Nothobranchius furzeri: one gene and its partner. Each later gene encodes a partner of the first gene's protein in a complex. Links are inferred from orthologs where the notes say so. Each region holds a gene or a part of one and is shown on either strand. Other genes may lie near its edges.

What was found. Proteins that work in one complex are often made in the same cells at the same time.
Region 2: odad3 (region 1) and clxn share a complex: the UniProt entries of both Homo sapiens proteins name them as parts of the outer dynein arm-docking complex. The link is inferred for Nothobranchius furzeri from reciprocal best matches to the Homo sapiens genes ODAD3 and CLXN.

The regions. Positions count from the first base shown.
Region 1 is NC_091746.1:25,114,010-25,118,613, reverse strand, and holds part of odad3 (coiled-coil domain-containing protein 151), read left to right. Parts: intron 1-1,251; coding exon 1,252-1,377; intron 1,378-1,465; coding exon 1,466-1,588; intron 1,589-1,724; coding exon 1,725-1,874; intron 1,875-1,976; coding exon 1,977-2,137; intron 2,138-2,260; coding exon 2,261-2,417; intron 2,418-2,485; coding exon 2,486-2,635; intron 2,636-4,604. UniProt on the Homo sapiens protein: Component of the outer dynein arm-docking complex (ODA-DC) that mediates outer dynein arms (ODA) binding onto the doublet microtubule. Involved in mediating assembly of both ODAs and their axonemal docking complex onto ciliary microtubules.
Region 2 is NC_091743.1:68,488,702-68,493,978, reverse strand, and holds clxn (calaxin), read left to right. Parts: upstream 1-1,955; 5' UTR 1,956-2,140; coding exon 2,141-2,213; intron 2,214-2,332; coding exon 2,333-2,491; intron 2,492-3,554; coding exon 3,555-3,659; intron 3,660-3,736; coding exon 3,737-3,888; intron 3,889-3,972; coding exon 3,973-4,077; intron 4,078-4,161; coding exon 4,162-4,209; 3' UTR 4,210-4,440; downstream 4,441-5,277. UniProt on the Homo sapiens protein: Component of the outer dynein arm-docking complex (ODA-DC) that mediates outer dynein arms (ODA) binding onto the doublet microtubule. Seems to regulate the assembly of both ODAs and their axonemal docking complex onto ciliary microtubules.

The DNA of each region.
Region 1 (4,604 bases):
GCACAAAAATAAAGACAGCAAGACGGTTAGCAGCTGAAAAAATAACCAAAAATGAAAAGAACTTAAAGGGAAAAATGAAACAAAATTACAGTTAAAGAGCAAGTCACCCCCAAATAAACTTTTTTTTTGCTGAAAAACTAAATAAATGAGTGTCTAATCGTGCTGCACACACGTGTCGTCAATAATTTGGCACTTCAGTGCATCTTAGTTAAAATTTAAATATTCTGCCTAAAACTGGCAGTGTTGTGCCGTTGTCAGGTAAAAACTCTGCACTGTATTCTAATTTAAATCTGCCACCGCTATTGGCTAAGAGGTATGCTATGATGTAAACTGGTACATTATGATGTCACAGTGCTGTTGTGAGCCTGTGTGAGTGTGCATTTGTTAGCAGCTCCACCCTCTCGGTCTGCCAGGCAACAGCATTTGTGGCATTTTTCAAACATGAAGTGGGAGTGGAGTTAGACTCTGGTAGGGGATGACTTGCTCTTTAAAGAGCAAGTCACCCCCAACCAGATTCTTACTCAACTCCCACCTGTTTGAAAAATGCCACAAATGCTGTTGCCTAGCAGACCGAGGGGGCGGAGCTGCTAACAAATTCACACACACACACAGGCTCACAACGACATTGTGACATCATATGGTACCAGCTAATGTCCTAGGGCACCTCTTAGCCAATAGCGATGGCAGATTTAAATTCAAATGCAGGGCAGAGTTTTTACCTGACAACGGCACAACACTGACAGTTTTAGGCAGAAAATTAAAATTTTAACTAAAATGCACTAAAGTGTTAGCCTGGCAAGCCAGACTAAATAAATGTATTATTCTTTGCAAAGCAAGAATTTGGTCTAGTTCACCAGGCTACTAAAGTGCAAAACTATTGACTACACGTGTCTGCAGCACGATTAGACACGCATTTATATCGTTTATCAGGAAAAAAGTTGATTTGGGGGCGACTTGCTCTTTAAACAGTGTTCCAAAGAATCGAAAAGAAGTAATTGATCATATTTCGACAGGTAAATTATTCCAGTCCAGTGGGGCTTTAACACTAAAGGCAAGTCTTCCCATCTCTTTGAAACATGGGTACAACAAAAGAAACATGCTCATTAAATCTAGTGTTATTAAAACTAGTACACACCAAATACCTTTTAAATTCGATGGAAAATCAAAGAATATACATTTAAAAATAAAAATGAACCACTGAAATCTACGTCTACGATGTGCTGACCCAGAATTGGCATCCTTTTGCTGCAGGATGAGAGTCTGACCTTCCAGGGCCAGCTGGACAGCTTGGAAGCAGAAATCCTGAAGTACAGAAAGGAGCTTCACAGCCTGCAGGTCATGAGGGACGACGCTCAGCTCTCTGAAGAAGCTGCAAAGGTGATCAGCGTTTTCCCTCTCTTCGCTTTGCACAAGCATCCTGGTGAAGCTTTGCATGTCTCATTCTGTCCCCCTGTCTTTCCACCAGGCCGCGTTCCAGCAGCAGGACGAACTGCTGTCCAGAGAGCGTAAGGAGAGGGAGAGAGCAATAACAAGTTACAGGAAAATAGTTGAAGAGCACAAGGCAGAGACTGGAAAAACTGAAAGAAGTGTAAGATGATCGCTGCTTTTAGATGTCTAATTCTGTCCATGGTCTCATAAAATGTGGAATTCAGTAAGTTAGGATGGGATTCAGCTCTGACACTGGTTGTAAACACGTGCTGACATTTAAAACGGGTGGCCTGCAGGTGAAGAGAACACCTCTGCAGCCAGATGAGCTGAGCAGCGAGGCCCAGCACAGCACCACTAGGATCCCCGCTGAGGAGGAGAAGGCCTTTTCTGCTCTGGAGGAGGCCTTCGAACGCATCAAGGAGACCACCGGAGCCACGGACGTGCAGGTACCTGAGATCTGATCTTCAGTAGGGAGCAGATTTCACCTTCTTCTCATCTAAAAACACCTCACGCTGAAGCTGGGATCATTTCTCTGGTTGTTTGTTTAGGAGATAGTGAAGCGCTTCACCTCACAAAAGGAGATGCATGAACATCTGGAGAAGCTGAAGAAAGAGAACGAGGAGGCCCTGCTGCAGCTGAAGGAGCAGAGGGAGCTTCTGATCCAGCGGTTTGAAGAGGAGGAGTATTCTGGAGATGCTAAGCTGTCATGGTGAGACTCACGTTGACCCTATGAGAACCCTGACCAGCTGTTTTTGTTTCTCTGGTTGAAGGAACCCGTGTGTCCTAAGGGTTGTTTTAGACTCTCCTTTTTTTGTCTTTGTGCTTTCATTAGTGAGCAGCAGAAGCTGGAGGAGGCCGAGCTTCAGCTTCAGGCTCACCAGCAGAGGTGTGACTCTGCCAGGGAGCGGCTGGACTGGCTCACAACAACCCTCAGTACCGTTACAGCAGGAGTGGAGCACCTGGCAGAGAAACTGCAGCACATCACTCTGGTAAGACACCTGCTCACGCTCGCACACACAGCATACCTGCAGTCTTTCTGTCACCGTTCCCGTTCCAGAGCGCGGGCAGAGTTACTGCGCAGCAGCCAGACTCCGAGGAGGCTGTGCTGGAGCTTCTGGCCCAGTGCGAGCTACAGCTGCAGCTGCTGCAGAAGGAGTTTGAGGGGAAAGATCTGACTGCTATCATGAAGGAGATGGGAGAAGACGAGGTGAGAAAAAGCTTCAGTACACTCTAGCCATCACATCTGGAGCTCGACAGGATCGAACACAGATTTGACGAGCTGCTGTAAAGCAGATGTTTTGTTATTTAATAACCCCTCACATAACAATTATGACCCAGAAGATGCTTTACATTCATTTATTTCAAACTCTGTCATCACAGTTATACACCGTCTGGAGGTTAGGGACAATATTTAGGCATCAAAAGCTTTTTAGTTTCAGTTAGATCTCCAATCCAATCCAATCCAATTTTATTTATAAAGCGCATTCACAAGGCATTACAACCAAACAAGGCGCTGTACACTAAAAATGTTAGTTAATCAAACCGGCGGTATACAAACATGTCGAACACAGATAAAAGATAAAAAGGAAATACAACAAAATTCCCAAAAGCTAACAGCTAAAAATCAATAAGACACAGGGTGAATAAAAATTAGAAAAACATTTAAAAAAGAACCTCAATATAGTATGGAAGTTGATATTGTGAAGTCCATTTTTAAACAATGCAGATGTAAGTGAGGTTCATAATTATGTGGTATAAGCTAGGTTGAAGTAGTGAGTTTTCAGGCGTGATTTAAAAATGCTAGCTGTTGGTGCTAGCCTCACTAGCAGTGGTAATGCGTTCCACAGCTTCGGTGCACAGACAGAGAAAGCCCTTTCTCCACGGCTTTGTAAACGAGCATTCGGAACAGCTAGGAGGAGCTTATCTTCAGACCTGAGAGCATGCGGCGAGTTGTAGTAATGGACAAGTTCACACAGATATGGAGGAGCTTGATGGTTCAAGGATTTGTAAGTCAGAAGCATAATTTTGAAGTTTATCCTGAACTGCACGGGCAACCAGTGGAGAGATTTCAGAATTGGAGAAATGTGTTGTCTTCTGTCAGCTCCAGTCAGCAACCTAGCTGCTGAATTCTGGACCAGTTGAAGTCTAGAGAGAGCTGCTTTACTGATGCCGTATAAGCAGGAGTTAGAGTAATCCAGCCTAGAGGTGATGAAAGTGTGGACCACAGATTTCAGAAGACCGACACTCAGGATGTGCTTTAGTTTTGAGATGCGTCTTAGTTGGAAAAAACATGATTTAACTGTGTTATTGACCTGGACATCCATCTTCAGAGCCTGGTCCATTTTTACTCCAAGGTTGGAGATTACAGAGGATACATTAGGTGAGAGATAGTTGAGGTCAGGTTGATGAGTCACCGTGGTACTGTTAGGACTGAAAACGATTAAGTCAGTTTTGGAGTCATTGAGATGGAGGAAGTTATCAGCTAGCCATTGCTTGACCTCAAGGATACAATCAGACAGAACTTTCGTTGATTGAGTTGGCTTAAATGAAAAATAGATTTGACAGTCATCAGCGTAAAGATGGTATGAGACAGCGTGCTTTCTGAAAATGGCTCCTAAGGGCAGTATATAGAGGTTGAACAGTAACGGGCCGAGAATTGAACCTTGTGGGACACCCCAACGTAGAGGCTGTGACTCGGATGAACAGCCATCCAACATGACCCTAGCAGACCTGTTACAAAAGTATGACCTAAACCAGTGGTTCCCAAACTTATTTAGCCGTGCACCCCCTTCTATGTCCCGACCATATATATATATATATCAGATGTCAAGCTAAACAGAAAGGGTTAAAATAATTCCCCATCACTTTCATTTTTTAAATAGTAAATAATAAGCATTCGATACCATTACAATTTCCTTTGATTTCATTTTGAATAAATATTTAGAGTGCCCAGGTAGCACATAAACAATGCAATTTAACGGTTTTCTTAAAGTAGGAACGTTTAACCTGTGCGGCCAGAGCGCTCTCCTTCCTTCTGCTCTGCGTAAACCTGAACGGATCACCTACTTGTGCATAATCAAATGTCAATAGGGGACAAGATATAGCCATGATGTTCACTTTTACCTCAGACCGACTTATTGCTGTTTTATGGTGTGGCTGAATCTGCGATCCGCTGT
Region 2 (5,277 bases), on another chromosome or scaffold:
AGTTTTAATGTTCTTTCCTCCCTTTTTCCCCTTTCTGATGTTGTTACTGATCACCTTTCTGTGGTTTCTGGTTTAGTCCTGACAAAAGTTTTCTTCTTCAGAAGAACAATCACATTTTACTGTTTTTATGTTCTGACTAATAGTGTCTGTTTACATGCTGTACGTGTCTGTGCTTGAGTGGAAACATCTCCGTGGTTAGCATCGTCTGCAAAAGTGCTGCAACTTTGTAATGAAACTAATAAAGATATATTTTAACAGTGAAAGCGGTGGCTCTTTTTGTGGAGCATAGAAACATGATAGTTAAACAAATTGAGGTGATTATGTTGCACTTTAAGGCTGCAGGGTGGAGCACTGTTTCCTCACAGCAAGAAGGTTACAGGTTCAAATCCCGGCTGTGGTCTTTTCACATTTGTTTTCATCCTACGGACCAAAAACAAGCAGACTGTAAACGTGTCTCTTGGTGTGGGTTAGTATTTGACTTGTTGTTTGTCTCTGTGTCCCCATGATGGACTGGAGGCATGTCCAGGATGTCTGATGATTCAAATCCAGAGATCACCTCAGTTATGTCCTGTGTGCACCCACACATGCAGTTAAACACTTGTTCAAAGGCACATCTTGCTCTGCACCACAACCGGCCCTTGAGCCAAGATAGTTCATGCTTAACTGTGACAGAAACAAAAAGTCTCCCTCATCTGCTGACTTGTCACGAAGAGAAAGCACAGCTCTATGTCAGAAGATGTTTGCTGGAGCATCCTGCTGTGTCTTGTCTGAGGTACTGACCCAAACCCACACCTAACTGCAGCAGAAACAAGACAAAGGCAGTCTGTCTCGAAGAGGTTTGCAAACAGAAATGTTTTTGCCGATTGTTGCTGGAATACAGCCATTGAACATGACGTAGAGCCACACATTTCTCAGGGAGCATTTGCAGGCATTTGTGTGATTCACACACCAACGCTATCTTCAGCTTATCTGATCATGGCAGCCAGGGCAGAGAAGTCCAAACATCCTTCTCACCAGCCACACACACACTCACATATATATAGTGCTCAGCATAAATGAGTACACTCCTTATAAAAGTGTGAATTTAATCAGTAGCACTTTTTTGTTACTGCTGCCAGCCTTTTTATAGTCACCTGTCTGCTGGACACCTCTTAAATGAATCATTAGACTCACCTGTGATTTAATGCCTGTTAATTTAAATTTTGTACTCTTAAGTGTGGCTTTTCTCTGAAGACTATAATTGAGGTGCTCATTTTTGCAACATAGGCCTGAATGAATTTGTTAGGAAAATCACGTTTTTGTGTGAGCAAATGAACAAATCTTGTTTGCAATCAATGGCCCACATTACTTTGTGGTATGGTATCTCATAGAAAATTTTGATTCTGAAAGGAATCTAAAGGTTTTCTGACAAATGAACTTGGGGTACTCATTTATGCTGAACACTGTATGCACCATCGACGTATATACGGTATACACACACACACATGCACGCAACCAAACAGAAACCACAAAACAGCTAAAATATATTCTCTGCAAGACACTTAATGATTTTAATTCAGAGAAGTAAAAGTGAAAAAATAAAAAAGAAAGAGAACTTGAAAAGCATGAAACATAAAAAAGAAAAGAAAAAAAATCAAGAAGTTCTTGCAAATAAATAAATGATAACATAAGCTAAACTAATAATTTTCAAAGCAATAGAACTAAATGGTCCCCGGGTTATGTACCGGTAATTTGTGTTTTGCCATCTCTTGGGGGCGAGCCTACAGTTTTCTTGTTTGCATGTCTAATCCTGCAAACATTCTCCAGTTGTTGATTAAGAATTCTCTAATGCCTGCCTTTTATTCTATTTATTATGTTTTTATTTATTCTCATATGCTTTGTCATTAGTTTTATTTCCTTTTATTTGCTCAAGTGTGATTTTCTTTTGAATTACCTGCGAGACATCTCGGCCAGCTTATGTTTGCAATGATACTCGAACATTTTACCTGGTAAAATAAAGGACGTACAAACAACTGTGATTGTACGAGAGCTGCTGTGTTGATGTTACCATAGAAACGCTCCATCACCTCCATCACTATATATGTCGATGCATCACCTTTGTAGTTTATCTCGGAGCACGTGACGAACTCTCTCCTCCAACATGGACTTGACTGCTATGAACAAGAGAAGGATTCGTGAATTAGCAAAAACAATCACTGAAAAGGATAAACACTGTGAGTAGAACTTTTTTAAACTTCTTTTGACCCCGCTGTTTCGGTTTGTTGACGGAAGAAGCTAGTGGCAGCTAGCTAGCAGCTACACAACGTAAACAAGGATTATCTGTGTTTGCTAGTCAAGAAGAAGGAGACGGAGAGCCTGATCCTGGAGTTTTATGAGCTTCTAGGGCAGAAGGTTAAGCCGGGCACAGAGGAACACGGAGTGGACCGATTGAAGTTCAAAGTCTACCTCCACGACATGTTTAGGTTGTCCAAGGAGAAGATGACAGATGGAAGTAGGTATCATTCCAGAATGCAGTCCCTTTTCAAAAGGGATGCTGTCTATTTATCCTTAGACTGCCTTTTAATTATTCCCAACACATTTTTATTTGGTAAATGTTTTAATTGAAACTGGTCAGACATTTTATTTGAATGTTGAATTAGGTTATTATTAAATAGGATTGGACCCATTTGTTCTGTTAGGGTTAAAGTTATAATCTGAAAAGACCTTTGTGTTCAACTGACAGGTGTATGTGAGATTAACAGGACATTTTGACATTTCTGTGACATTTTTCCTTTTAGTTGATACTTGTAGCTCTTTGAACAGCCTCGGTTAGGAGAAACAGAGACCAGTTTTGATTCTACAAAGATCATTCTGACTGGGACCAGTTCCAATTTGTTTCTGCTGTCTTAAACAGTGGTGGCTGGTGAAATTTTATTTGTTTTTTTAGTAAGACACATTTTTGCAAGACAGTTTTCAGATGTGCTAACCACATGACTAGGGGACACCAAATTAGCATTCTTATGAGTCACACAACTTTTACCAAGTCCACGACTACTTTTGGCAACAAAGTTGTTCAATATTCACCAATATATGCAAACTGCACACTTTAAGCCATACTATGCACGTTTTTCATATGTGCTAACATGACCGTTTACAATGTTAATGAAATGTCATTCAGACCAACAGGTGAGTCATTTTTTTTGTTTGGAACTGTTCGACAGAAATCCTCCTCTAAAGATCTGAACTACTTTAAATTGAAAACTTGGCAATAATCTATAATGGATAAATAAATCTGATATATTTTGCAGCCTGTTTAAAACACATTTATCCTGAGACAATGGCTAACGCAAAACTTTATTGTAAAACAAACAGACAGACAAAAACCTGCTAAAGACACATTTATTGAAGTGACTTTGCAGCAGATGTTTTAACACGAATCAAATTGAAAACACAGAATTAAAAAGAGCAGGTTTTTTTATAACTGTTGGTAATTTTAACGAGTATTAGAAAATTTAACTCTTTAGTACTAAAGGGTAAGTATTTTTTAGAAAACTGTGTTTTTAGAGTGTTTTCAGTTTTCAGGGTTTTTGACAAAGACAGAGACGGCTTCCTCAGTTTGGAAGAGTGGCTGAAGGGAATGACAGTGTTTCTTCGTGGGACCTTGGAAGAAAAAATAAAGTGTAAGCTCCCCCCGTCTCTCTAACCCACGCCCACAAACTCAAATCTAGACTCACAGCCTGATTCTTTTTTCATTCAGATGCATTTTCTGTGTACGATCTGAACGAGGATGGGGAAATGAGCAGAGAGGAAATGTTCTACTTCCTGAAGGACACCCTCCCTGGACTGCCCCCAGAGGAGAACCTTGAGGAAGCAGTAAAATTTCTCGTGGAGATCCCGATGAAGAGGATGGTAAGAGATGTTCAACATCTGTTAGTTTCAACGTGCTCTCATTAGTTAGGAGCTAAAATAATTCTTGCATCCTCTCACCCACAGGACACTAATAAAGATGGACTCGTGTCTTTGGAGGAGTTTGAAGCAGCCGTAAAAAAGGAGAATTTGCTGCTTGAGGCCTTTGGACCCTGCCTTCCAGACACCATGGTGATCACAAGTTAGAGGCTGCTTACTGCTTCAGAATCAGCAACTTAAACTGTGTAATTTACAGTCTGCTTTCTTACCTTTCAGACAACCAGGAAGTTCCAACAGCGGGCTTTTCAGAAGCGCCTGGAATAACCTTCGTTCCTACACGAATTTAACCTTCTGATCTTATGATCAGAAGACATTCATTTAGTCATTTATTTAGTCTGGCTTGCCAGGCTAAGCTGTACCACCTTGAGTCACGTAAAACTGCGACTCAACTAATACACGTGACAGCCCCATCTAGTGGACAACTTTTGTTTCTGCGCATAGCCGCATACCTGTAGTTATCGTCCATTTATCGTTATCAAGGTGAAATCCTCAATATATCGTGATATTAATTTTAGGCCACATCGCCCAGCCCTAGTAGCAACCTAATTTTCATTTCTAGTTTTTAAAATGTTCATCTTTAGTTTTTTGTTTTAATAAATTTGTTAATGTTGTTTTACCTTAATTTGAACTACTACAATTTTTTCATGTTCTTGAGGTTCGACTAGTCTGAAATAGCCAACAACAACAGCAGAAATCTCACTAAATAAAACTTAGAGTATTTTAAGTATATTTCAAGAGTCTTTTTCAATCTGTAACCCCTGTTTGGGGTCACAGATTGTGGGGGTGGTTTGTACACTGATGAACCAACGTACAACTATTTAACATCACCAGCTATACTAATGTGTGTTTTCAGACTGTGAGAGAAAGCTGAATGAATGATTCATGTTTGAGGAGAACACACAAACTCTAAACAGAGTTTAGAACATTTACGCTATCAGTTAAACCACAAATAAAAACTGCAACAGGTGAAAGGAAGCACCAAATACGGATCCACGGAAAATCAGATTGTCTGCTCATTTAAACTTTGAAGTTTGTATGTTGTATAAAAACAAAAATAACACATTTTAAGCAATTAACAGTTCACATGCACTTTTAAAGATTAATTTGGGAATTTCCGCTGCATTTTTATGTGTTATTCATTCAACATAAGAAATACATATCATCTGAAAACTAACTGGTTCTTTTTAACATTCAAAATGTTGCCTATTAGTGTTAGTATGATTGCTGCTCATTTATACATGAAGAGAAACAAATATATATTTATATATTTTTTTCCAAACACGTCCCACACTAAATCTGTATATCTGATTTGAAATGATAGCTATTTCTCAT